Linked DNA regions of Arabidopsis thaliana. The protein of the gene in region 2 binds, or shares a complex with, the protein of the main gene of each other region. Each region holds a gene or a part of one and is shown on either strand. Other genes may lie near its edges.

Region 1 (3,569 bases), on a different chromosome or scaffold from region 2:
AGACCGGTCACTGTTGAAGCACTATTTACTTCCGTAGAGACACTTCAAACTAGTCTAGTCTCTGTGTTCTTACTGCGCTGCTACATTAGACAATTAAGCATGCCTTATAAGAACATGAACAAATCAGCATTATCACATTTTCTTTTGCTAGATACATGATGTTTCGAAGAAGTGGACAATACATGTGACTGGTAGAAACACAAGCGAAAGATTTGATGAGGTGAGTTATTTGCACATGCTTTAGTCTTATACGTCTGAGGTCAAAGTGGTGGTTATTAACCATTTTCTATATGAATTCTGCAACAGATGGGACTAAGGCAAATACGAGAGAACTGTGTGCAACCGAATGGCGACACTCTAAGATCATTTACGTTTTGCAGAATGAATGAGAAGATCTTTAGGGTCGAGAACTGGAACAACTTTGTCCCTTTCATTAGACAGATGAGTGCAGATATGTAAACACACTCACCACCCATTGGTGTGTTTGTCTTTTGTTACAGAATCGATCTTTCCTCACCATATTGCTTTTTCAGATATGTGATGAGGAGAACTAATCAAATCAAAAATTGTTATATGATAAAATCTCTCTCTGTTTCTATTCTTCATTTTGTTCTATCTCTATTGCAAAAGTCTTGCAGAAACCTTTTTCATTGGATCAAAAAGTTACATTGTATGTTTTGATTATCAGAAAGCGATCCAATACAGAAGGTTTAATCACAGCAAATGTGTTACATACAAAGATATTATTGAATCAAAGGACTTGCCTATCAGCAGCCTCGGCAACAAGAGGCAACCTCGGGGTCAGACCAAACAAGCAAGCAGAGAATCCATAGATCAAAGAGACAAGCAAGAAGAGGAACACTGTGCTGTCCAAACTCATCACCACATCTAAACCAAACCCATCTCTAGGATTAAAGCTCCTCTCAAGCAAATCCGGGAAAATCAACAACACATCAAGCACAATCGCCTGCATCGTGTTGAACCTGACGTACCTGCTGAAATTAGGGTTCCTCACAACGACGAAGTAGAGAGTGATGAAGATAAGAAACCCATTGAAAGGGAAGCTCTTGAAAGCTCTGATGGCGGGAAACAAAGGTTGGATGAGAATCTGAAAAGGTTGGTACTGTGTGATGATGAATTTGCCGTATTGAATCCCATCGAAGAATGGGTAGAAGTAACAGACGGCTGAGATTATCCGATCCGATGCATCGACGGAATCATCACCCTTGGATTGGAGTACGAGTGTGGCGGCTCTGTCCCTGGAAAGTCTAGGTTTTGGGAATTGGGTATCAAGGTTTAGAGGGAGAAAAGAACGACCGGTTAGGGTTAGGGTTCCGGTGAGAGATGGTAATGGAGCAAAAAACTGAGATATTATTGCCATTTTGCTCTGTTTTTGTTTCACTTCACACAAAACTGAAAGACTGCTTAACACATGATGAGAGGATAATAAACTAAACTCCACTCTGTTTTAAAAGTTTAGCTTAAAACATTGTGTCGTCTTCTTATCTTTCTAATATGATAAAACGGTACGTAGTTATTTGAAGTAAGGTAACAATTAAATAGCCTCTGTTATTGTCTTTGTTTTTTGTGTATATTTAAATATCAAAATCCACCGGTATAAAACGGCGTAATGCCTTTGTATTGGACCCAATTCTTTCAATTTTCACCTAATTTAATTACCTCCGTATTTATTTTTTAGTGCACTTCAATGTCTCTTGCATATATATATTGGAGCAAATTATAAACATAATGTTCATAGTGAAATTGTTAGTTGGTTTTAATCTCTTTTTAAGACAACATATAATGTCAATTGTATGTACGTTTTTCTTGTTTCTCTTAAACACTTCTTTTGCGTTTGCATTTGCGATTCCTAAACCGCCAATAGTAAGGAGACTATCAACGACAGTGACATCAAATTCAACAGCGTCTTCTTGCTCAGCCAATGGAAATCCAATCGATGAGTGTTGGAGATGCGACGAAAACTGGAAGGACAACCGCAAAAACCTCGCGGATTGCGCGGTTGGATTCGGACGCGACTCAATTGGCGGTAGAGCCGGGGAGTTCTACACGGTGACTGATTCAGGAGACGACAATCCTCTAAATCCAACTCCAGGTACATTACGGTACGCTGCGACACAAGATCAACCTCTATGGATCATTTTTGATCGAGACATGGTAATACAACTAAAACAAGATCTTCAAGTAGCTTCATACAAAACCATTGATGGTAGAGGAAATAACGTACAAATAGCTTATGGACCGTGTTTAACTTTATATAAAGTTAGTAACATTATTATAAACAATCTTTATATTCACGATTGTGTTCCCGTGAAACGGAATGCTTTATCGTCGTTGGGAGGATACTCGGATGGAGATGGAATATCGATATTCGAGTCTCGAGATATTTGGATTGATCATTGTACGTTAGAGAAATGTTACGATGGGCTTATTGATGCGGTGAATGGATCCACGGATATAACGATTTCGAATAGTTACATGTTGAATCATAATGAAGTCATGCTTTTGGGCCATAGTGATGAGTATTCCGGTGATCGGGATATGCGAGTTACGATCGCGTTTAACTATTTTGGTGAAGGACTTGTCCAAAGAATGCCAAGGTTAGTACAATCTTATATTTCTTTTTCTTCTTTTTTTAATGTCAAATTTATAAGCTAACCAAAATATTCGTGCTTAAAATACCAATGTGTAGGTGTAGGCATGGATATTTTCACATAGTGAATAACATTTATAGAGACTGGAAGATGTATGCTATTGGTGGAAGTGCTAATCCAACGATCTTTAGCCAAGGAAATGTTTTCATAGCTTCCAATAATCAGTTCACCAAGGAGGTACGTTCGTGACATGTGCTCCACAAAACTAAGAGCGTTTTAACCTCACAATTAGTACAATCTAATTCATAGTCGACTAATCATTTAGAAATTTGATTTTCATGTGTCTTACTATATGGATTAGATTCTAGACGGAAATGTTTGCTCCATACTTCTAAACTCACATGCCCTATACGCAGGTTACAAAGCGAGAGAGTGCAGATGGAGACGAAGAATGGAAGGAATGGAACTGGAAATCAGAAGGAGACGAAATGGTTAACGGAGCTTTCTTTACACCGTCAGGGAAAGAGGATTCTCCGAGCTACGCGAAATTTTCGAGTATGGTAGCTCGACCAGCTTCACTTCTCAAGACCACACATCCATCAGTAGGTGTTCTTAGTTGCGAAATTGACCAAGCTTGTTAAAAACACAAACATAAGCTTGTGACCAAATCTAGTGTTTGTCCTTCTTTTTCTTTTTTGCTCTTCTACTTGTTGTGGTTATTGTTATCGTAAATAGGATTTGTACTGAATGTGATGATGATCATAGACCCAAACAACAATTGTTCATTGTCAATTTCTTTACCAAAAAATTTCTTTTACGAGTCACAAAGTTTCGTCAGTTTTTTTATTTATAAATACATTAAAATTACTTAACAACCTTTTTCCATCGGATAAAACTAAGATTGACACTCATCATTAATAATTTTATATATACTCCCATTTTTTTTAGTGAGTGTTA
Region 2 (8,159 bases):
AGAAGATCAATGTGGTTTGAATCTGGTTCGAGTTTAGACTACGGATCGAATAGTGCTAAATCTTCTGGATGTTACGCTTCCCTTGTCAAGGTGTTGCTCAGATCATGTTAAATGATTCTGCCTTTTTTCTTATATTTAACTCTCTCCTATTTTCTTATTAATTTTCACTTCTTTTTTTTCTTTTTTTGTAATCTTGGAAATAATTTCTAAAAACTATGTTTCATCGATTCATATCATCATCTCTATGAATCAATTGATTGGATCATATGGCTTCTATTTTTGTCTTTAAAAGACGTGCTTTTGTATAATTAGAAATTTCGACAAAAACATACTATAACGAGATCAGATCTAGTATACATGTTGATTGTTGAGTATTGTTCTAGTTGTGTGCAGTCATGTGAGACCACCATAGAATTAACAATTAACTTTCACTTACGGTGTTACGGTCAAATCATTTCATTAAAAAAAAAGTTCTCAATGATTGAATTAACTGTTATTCTATTTTTTAGGTTCGTTATGCGGGAACACCCGTCACGTGACACCACATGAGCACTTCAAAGCTGCGCTCTAAATTGTATAAGGGATACACTTCTCGTTTGCAGATTTTCAAATTAATCATATCAAGTTTATGGTTCTGATACAAAATTTTCACAGACTTTGGTCAAATTTCAAATTCAAAATCATTTTTCCACCCTCGGCCGTAACACAATACATAATAACTCAAGTGATTTCTCCAAAGATTTAAAAGACGAAATTGCCCTCTTCTGCAGCAGAAGATAATGCTCCATCTTCCATTTCACGGAGGGCAGTTGCAGTTGAATCATCTATTCCCAGCAGATATTGTAGCCTCAAAACTTTTTCCGGTGCGGGTTTGGGATCACTCTTTGAATAAATAGCATATAGATCAGATAATTCCTCTGAGACCTCCCATGACATTGGCTCAGCCGGCACAGCTTTGTCACATGCAAGCAAATCATTCAGCGACAAGACCTGTAAAACCAAAAAAAAAAAGCATACATACATACACAATTTAGACCCAGAAGCTGAAATATCCATGTTTTCTGTCACGATAAGAGAGGGAAAAGATGATTTGCATACCACTCCTTTAGAGTTTCTCTGCCTGAGTAATGCCACGGCTTGGACCAGCGAATTCGATAATCTACTCTGAGCGAGATCATGGACAACTCTTTTGGCTTTTTCCACATCAATACTGAGATCGGATGGGATTGTCTGGTAGACTTCGGTTTCATCGAATTCACCAGTTCCTGATGAGAAGATGTCACTCACTGTCTTCTTGAATAATTTCTCTCTCAGACTCACAGCGATCATGCTGTCCAGGCTGACATTTGCCTCCTTGAGCTCCCGTATCTGCTTTATGTTCAGTCTTCCTTGGTTAACAGCGGTCTCTATCGCGTTTGCCATTTTTGTGGTGGTTATATTCTTGATAACCTTCTCGGCTTGTGGCTGAGGCAAACCAACTTGTTTTTGCAACTCGTCTAGCTGCTCTACTCTAGCCTTTGTCAATTGCCCATCAGCTAAAATCACTTCAGCTTGTTGCCTAAAAGCCTGCTCGGCTAAACCTACGTGAATGTTGACTATTTCTTTCGAACTCAATCCGAGAATCCCACCAAGCTGATTTAGAAGCAAGTACTCTGAATCGTCTCTCTTTGTTGTGATCTGGGCGCCAAAAGGGATTCTTGTTACCTCTCCAGTTACACAGTAGAGCAAGTATGTTTTGTAGAGATCTATTCTGTCCCTGTCGGGAAGGTCATCTTTGAGAGTTATCTCAGTCTGGCCAGGCTTTCCCATTTTCTCAGCGAGTTCCTTGTCGGGTCTTGTCTTTCTGAGCGATTCAAGGGATCCCCATTCTTCATCTTCATCATCTTCTTCTTTCTCTTGAACAGGGTCCTCCTCAGGTGCCTTATCAGAAGATTCTCCCTTGATATCAGCCACCATTTCAGTCACAACCAACGTGTTGAAAGCAATCATCTTCTTGAGCTCCTTTGCTGAATCAGTACGGTTCTCGGCTGCTCTTGCTCGTCTGATATAGTTTGTGAAAACCCTACGGACCTGCATCAATGAAGGGATTTGATTTTCATGTCTTGCTATGAGAAGTCAGAAAATTTTAACAAATCCTAATACCAAGCATGGAGAAAGTAAATAGTGTGATACTCACAGCTTTGCTAGCAATAGACATGGCAGTCTCTCTGGATAACCGAAGACCATGTGCAGCCTTTCTAACTGATTTGCGAGTTTCAGCATCATAACCATCCACTCCAGAAGAAATGGCATCCCTGACAACCTGGAAAGATTAAACAAAAAGGTAATTAGAGGTAAAACCTTTTGGTAACAAAATGCGAAGGCAGAGAGGGAAGCAGAGGGAAATTGCAGTGCCAAGACCCAAGACCATGAAAAAACCCTTGATAAAGGGAAAAGGGAGGTGATAACTGGATTACCTTTTCAAATATGGTTCCACAGATTTCTGCATGAGCTGTATCAACAGTTTGCTGGGGAATACACAACATAACTCTTAACCTTAATAAAGCAGCAACATTGTCATCGCTCAGCTCTCCATCAGTAACACACTGTTGAAGCTTCTGCCGATAGATTTCTGAGGAAGAGAAGGTGCTTGTCAGATGATTGGGAAAAAAAGACCAAATAGATACTCAAACTGTAAAATAACAGCATGTAACCCACTGAAACACCAGACTTGTTAGAAGTCTGTTAAGAACCAAATCTACAACACTAAAAGCTAGCTTAAAAGGATAAGGAACCCGCAAGTTTACAAGCCATCAACTAAATTGATACCCATGGACACATCTTACATTTGGGCGATTATGTGGCAATTCCAACTGTATACCTCATGCATAACATAAAAACATAAGATTTCATTGTGAACAGAAGGTTCGGCTTATACCTTCATGGATTGCGCCTGCCTTCTGTGCATCAAAGTGCAGCTCTTCGCAGAGCTTTTGAAGGTATTTTGCTTTACTGTCTTGTGCTTCAAGGTCACCACTAGAAACAGCGTTAGCAAGTCTTTTACGGTAAGACTTGGACGTAACATCAACACTAATAGCTTCAGCCTCTCGTTTTCCCAGACCGAGTATGTTTCTAAGTTGGCTCATTGCCACGAGCTACCATACAGTAGAAAGACAATTAGAAATGGAAAAAAACATGCGACTGGGATAGAGGACACAGCATCTGAAAACACTTACTCTCAAAAAAACTTGCAACTAAGCTTTAGTACATAATATCTTATACAAAACTGAGTATACCTTATTTTCTTCTAAGCGCCCACCAGATAAAGCATCTGTAACATATGCTCTATAAAGGAGCTTTAAATCATCCATTCTCCTCTCAAAATCAGACTCATCACCTAAGCCACATAGATCCAAGGTTGAGAGCCAATAATTTTTCTTCAGAAAAGAGAAGGTCAAAAGCATCTTCACCTATCAAAGAAATAGGGCCAACCCCGCGTGCAAATTGATCTGCCTCTGAATGACTTTTCAAGGAAACTAGCAGGTTGTTAAACTCCAGTACTTTTTCAAGCTCTTCCACGACAGATGCCAAACTCTTCCTGGAAAAAATCAGGTCGTTAAAATGACATGCATTGTAAACTACTATAAACTAGACATACTAGATGATCCAATTTGTTTCCACTATTAATTATCACAAGATACAAAAACGCCTATAAAATTAAAATCTCATGACTTTTTTTTAAATACTTATACTATAAGACAATTCACAAAAGCAAAAGAGATCATATGACCAATCAGTTTTTGCAATAACCAAAACTCAAAACTAAAGCCAAAACTTCAATCTCTTTTTTCAACCCGACCAAACTCAATGTTCAAGCAAAGGAATACATATACCCAGCTAAAGTCATAACTCATTGGTATAAGAAATAAAAAAGTTAAATGTGTAACCAAACTGTTCACATGGATAATGATTATTCTATACGATTTTTCTATGCATGATTCTGTAAGCAATATGTTAAAATGATTTACGCTGCTCGTGTGCGGGATTTGAGTATGCTGAGTGCCGATGAAATGTTCTCTACGACTACTTTTCTCGTATGCTCTCTAAACAGGTCTTCAGCAAGCTATGAGGGAGAAGAAACTGTCAGAAGAAGTACAACCAGAGATAGCAGGAAGTCAATGCCACAAAGAAATAGAGTACCTCATCAGAGAGCTTGAATGATAGTTGTGATTTTCTAAGGTCCACAAGGTTTTCTACGTTAATATCTGCAAGAACATGTTTAGAAACATAACCATGTAAGTTTCCATGCATTAAGCTGACGAAAAAGCTAAGTCATATCTTTTTTTGGTTGTCAAAAAGCCATATCTATTATCAATGTTAAATGAGAAGGGACCATTACAGTCGCATGCGAAGTAACAATTAAGGTTGGTATTCAGACAACTTGCTGATAAACGAATATTACAAAACCCAATGGACAAAGAAGTGCCACAATAATCAATATAACCAAGTCAAGCAAACTCAAACCCGTTCTACAAATGTAACATTACTTCCCATCTCAAAATGTAAAACATGAACAACATTACCTCTACCAACTAATTTTAACCGTTCGGCATACAGCTGCTTTGCATTTTCACGAATAGCAATCTCAACCTAGAAATGAGGTCAAGACATTAGCACAGAACTTCAGATTACCAAGAAGGAGTGAGTTGCCAAAATGAAACTTCCATAAAACAACTATTGCGCAAAATCAGAAGTATGAAAAAAATTGGAAATGCCTACCTGAGCATCTGTGACCTTCAATACTCGCTTCCAAGGTAGAAGGAAGGATGAAGCATCTCCAAACACAAGAGCTGAAACATATACAAGCCTCATAAATGCCTGCACTGGAAGCATACAACTTGTGATCACGCTTGTGCTCTCTTTCGAACAATCCTACAATAAACTTAACAAATACTAGGGACTGGCGACTCACCCGACGCTGTTCTGCATCACCTTCACGCTCCCCAGTCTCAAGCCTTTGCCTAAAAATCCTGCGACCAATCTAAACAAAACCAAGGAATTGGTGATTCAGCAATCAAGATCCTTCTGCATCAACTACAAAAAGGCTAACGGCTAATTCAAATGAAGATTAAGAATCTAGAAAGCACCTCCATGTGCATGGCAGCTGCATCAGGTTCGTCTATCCCTAAAGCATTTTTGAACTTGACTATCTTCGCCACTTCATCCCCTTTAAGAGACTGTCCTTCAGTTGGAAGCACGGAAGTTACATACCTAAATCAAGATTAAGATGCAAAGATTACTAATGAATTCCCCACACTAAGAGAAAAGATGAACACAGTATCCTTTGTTGACTCACCGGCAATAAATATCACAAATCTCAGCCTGGAATGCTTCGTCTCCTTTGTTGACACCGTACCTGCAACATATAAGAAGGATCGTTTAAGCAAACTTTTGTTTATAAATCCCAGACACAAATTGACAATTAAATGAAGCACTCACCTATCAGCGATCTTTTCTACATCATCTTTCGTCACAGAGGCAGGATCTTCGAATTCGGCAACATAATTATGCAAACTGATAGCAGCTACCTCCGGTACAGCAGAGTTCAACGCATATACGACAGCTCCACCGGCGGCTCCAGCAACAGCAGCCCCACCAAAGGCAATATTCCTGGAGCCGGCTAAACGGAGCCCAAGGCCGTAACCAGTAGCTAAAGACGCCGCTAATACAACAGCTGAAGTCGCTAGCCTCACCGGCGGTGTCATTTTCTCAACAATCGGTTGCAATCCAGTGAGCTCCTTCTTATTCCCATGGATACCGGGATTCTTCGCCTGCGTAGATACTGATAGTTGGTCGGAGGAAGCAGCTGAGCTACGAGGGAACGAAACTCGATAACGACGGCGAGATAGACACTCAGACTTGGAGAAACGGTGAGGTAAAGTAGGTAGGAAGTGAGAAAGAAGAGGAGACCGAGGAGAAGGTGAAATTGGAGCGTTAATGGCGGTGACGAGTGAGGGATTCATGGTTCCCTCTACTGAGAAAGATCCGAGCAGTCGTTGAAAAAAAGAAGAATCGTAGGGTTTAACGAAAAACAGTAGACAACGGAAGAAGATAGAGATGCGAACGAAGAAAAGGGGAAAGAGATAGGGCCTAACAAAACATCAAAATCCCCTTTCGAACGTCCAGACGTTTTTTAATAATATTATAAAACTACGTGTTGTTTTACTCTTCGGTAACGGTAAGATGTTTACATAAAAAAACAAATTAGACGCCTTGTGTAAATTGGAAACGCCACGATTTCTTCTCTCTTCTTGGCTCTTAGGGCTCGCTAAATTTTCTCAGGGCTGTGACCATCGACCATCGTCGTCTTCGCGGAGCTCAGTTGAAAGATGTTAACGGCTGATATACCACCAAATCAGTCAATCTACATAAAACATATCAATGAGAAGATCAAGAAAGAAGGTAATGCTTACGAAATTCATATAATTGCATCGGTGATTTTCTAAGAGTTTTTGCAATGCTTAAGTAGCTTGGTAATGCTTGTGTGAGCTTCTCTTGAATGAGTTGTCTGAGTTTAAAGTTGCTTAATTTGATGTTTACGAAGGTTAGATTAGATGCATTTAGAGTTATCTTTCTAAGTATTAGGGATTTAGAATTTCTGTCTAATCTTAATAGACCTGAACTAGAGATACTCTAACAAAGGTGCTTTATTTAAGTAATTAAGTAGGAAAGGCGATTGCTTTTGCCATGAAATTTGTTTAGATTGTTTGATTGAAGTCAATGACCTTAAGTTCTTTAGCTGCTGCTTTTGTTTGTCTAAGAGTAATGCTGTTCAAGCAGATCATTGTTTAATGTTTCCACTTGTTTTTTTCAGAGCTGAAGAGGTCTCTTTACTGTTTGTTCTCTCAGTTTGGAAGATTACTTGATGTGGTTGCGTTAAAGACTCCTAAGCTCCGGGGACAAGCATGGGTTGTTTTTACTGAAGTCACCGCTGCTAGCAACGCTGTCCGTCAGATGCAGAACTTTCCTTTCTATGATAAGCCTATGGTACCTTTTTCCTCTCTTATGTTCCAGGTTTATCTATCCCGCTACCGAAAAATGATTTTATCTTGTTATGTGAGACTATAAGCTTAGAAAGTTGCAGAGATTTACTTGGAGGGAAAATTGAGTTTGCTTGCTGATACTTGTTGTTATATAAAATTGAAGGAAGTACAACGACATTAGATGTTGAGGGTATATCATTACACAAGTGATTACTAAGTAAAAGACTAGAAAAAGCTAAATGCAATATTATTATTCAAATCGTGATGTGTGATCTCTGTGGGTGCAGCGGATACAATATGCAAAATCAAAGTCAGATTATGTTACTAAAGCCGAAGGGTCTTTTGTTCCAAAAGAAAAGAAGATGAAGCAAGAAGAGAAAGGTTTAAACTTTCGTTTCCATCACAAGTTCAGATCTTTTCAGCTCATTTCATCTGTGTTTTACTTCGCATCTGATGTTTAACAAAACTGCACATCACTTTCAGTTGAAAGGAAGCGACATGCTGAAGAAACTCAACAACCAAGCATGCCTAATGGCGCAACTACTCAGAACGGAATGCCTGTGGCAATTTCTCTTTCTCGCATCATTCCAACAATACAATATTATCTTCTGACAGACGTCATTATCGCAACTTAGTCTGTAAATCCTTGTTTCCTAATACCCGTCTCTGTAATTTCACAGCCTCCTTTCCAGCCGAGTGGGCAAGACACGATGCCACCAAACAACATACTCTTCATTCATAATCTTCCCATTGAGACGAATAGTATGATGCTTCAGCTGCTCTTTGAGCAATACCCAGGATTCAAAGAGATAAGAATGATCGAAGCAAAACCCGGAATTGCGTTTGTGGAGTATGAAGACGATGTTCAGTCTTCCATGGCCATGCAGGCTCTTCAGGGTTTCAAGATCACTCCGCAGAATCCAATGGTCGTCTCTTTTGCCAAGAAGTGAAAACCAGAGTTTTGTTATGCGGATGAATGGTAATGATATACTAATTAGTAGCTGTTTAAAAGCAAACTGTCTTATTTTATTTGGTTCGTTTCCGATTAGTGGTGTGAATGACCCCGAAGCTTTAGACCAGAATGTAATGAGATCGAAGAATTGAGAGTGATTTGGTTGGAGAAAATCTCATTTTAAA

The links.
Region 1: TIC110 (region 2) and Tic20-V share a complex: the UniProt entries of both Arabidopsis thaliana proteins name them as parts of the tic complex.

The regions. Positions count from the first base shown.
Region 1 is NC_003076.8:22,554,244-22,557,812, forward strand, and holds Tic20-V (TIC 20-v-like protein), read right to left. Parts: upstream 1,408-3,569; 5' UTR 1,382-1,407; coding exon 752-1,381; 3' UTR 635-751; downstream 1-634. Other genes in the region: BAM4 (beta-amylase 4), read left to right, coding at 152-220, 307-459; AT5G55720 (Pectin lyase-like superfamily protein), read left to right, coding at 1,804-2,618, 2,711-2,849, 3,029-3,253. UniProt on the Arabidopsis thaliana protein: May be involved in protein precursor import into chloroplasts. Not redundant with TIC20-I, TIC20-II or TIC20-IV.
Region 2 is NC_003070.9:2,129,562-2,137,720, forward strand, and holds TIC110 (translocon at the inner envelope membrane of chloroplasts 110), read right to left. Parts: upstream 6,143-8,159; 5' UTR 6,003-6,142; coding exon 5,479-6,002; intron 5,396-5,478; coding exon 5,336-5,395; intron 5,251-5,335; coding exon 5,127-5,250; intron 5,021-5,126; coding exon 4,952-5,020; intron 4,858-4,951; coding exon 4,759-4,857; intron 4,630-4,758; coding exon 4,563-4,629; intron 4,245-4,562; coding exon 4,180-4,244; intron 4,103-4,179; coding exon 4,008-4,102; intron 3,578-4,007; coding exon 3,450-3,577; intron 3,377-3,449; coding exon 3,276-3,376; intron 3,135-3,275; coding exon 2,918-3,134; intron 2,612-2,917; coding exon 2,457-2,611; intron 2,303-2,456; coding exon 2,177-2,302; intron 2,071-2,176; coding exon 1,099-2,070; intron 991-1,098; coding exon 742-990; 3' UTR 492-741; downstream 1-491. Other genes in the region: AT1G06930 (TPRXL), read left to right, coding at 1-111; AT1G06960 (RNA-binding (RRM/RBD/RNP motifs) family protein), read left to right, coding at 6,369-6,441, 6,854-7,026, 7,310-7,403, 7,506-7,585, 7,703-7,972. UniProt on the Arabidopsis thaliana protein: Involved in protein precursor import into chloroplasts. Forms a voltage-dependent cation-selective channel at the inner envelope of chloroplasts, which specifically responds to a transit peptide.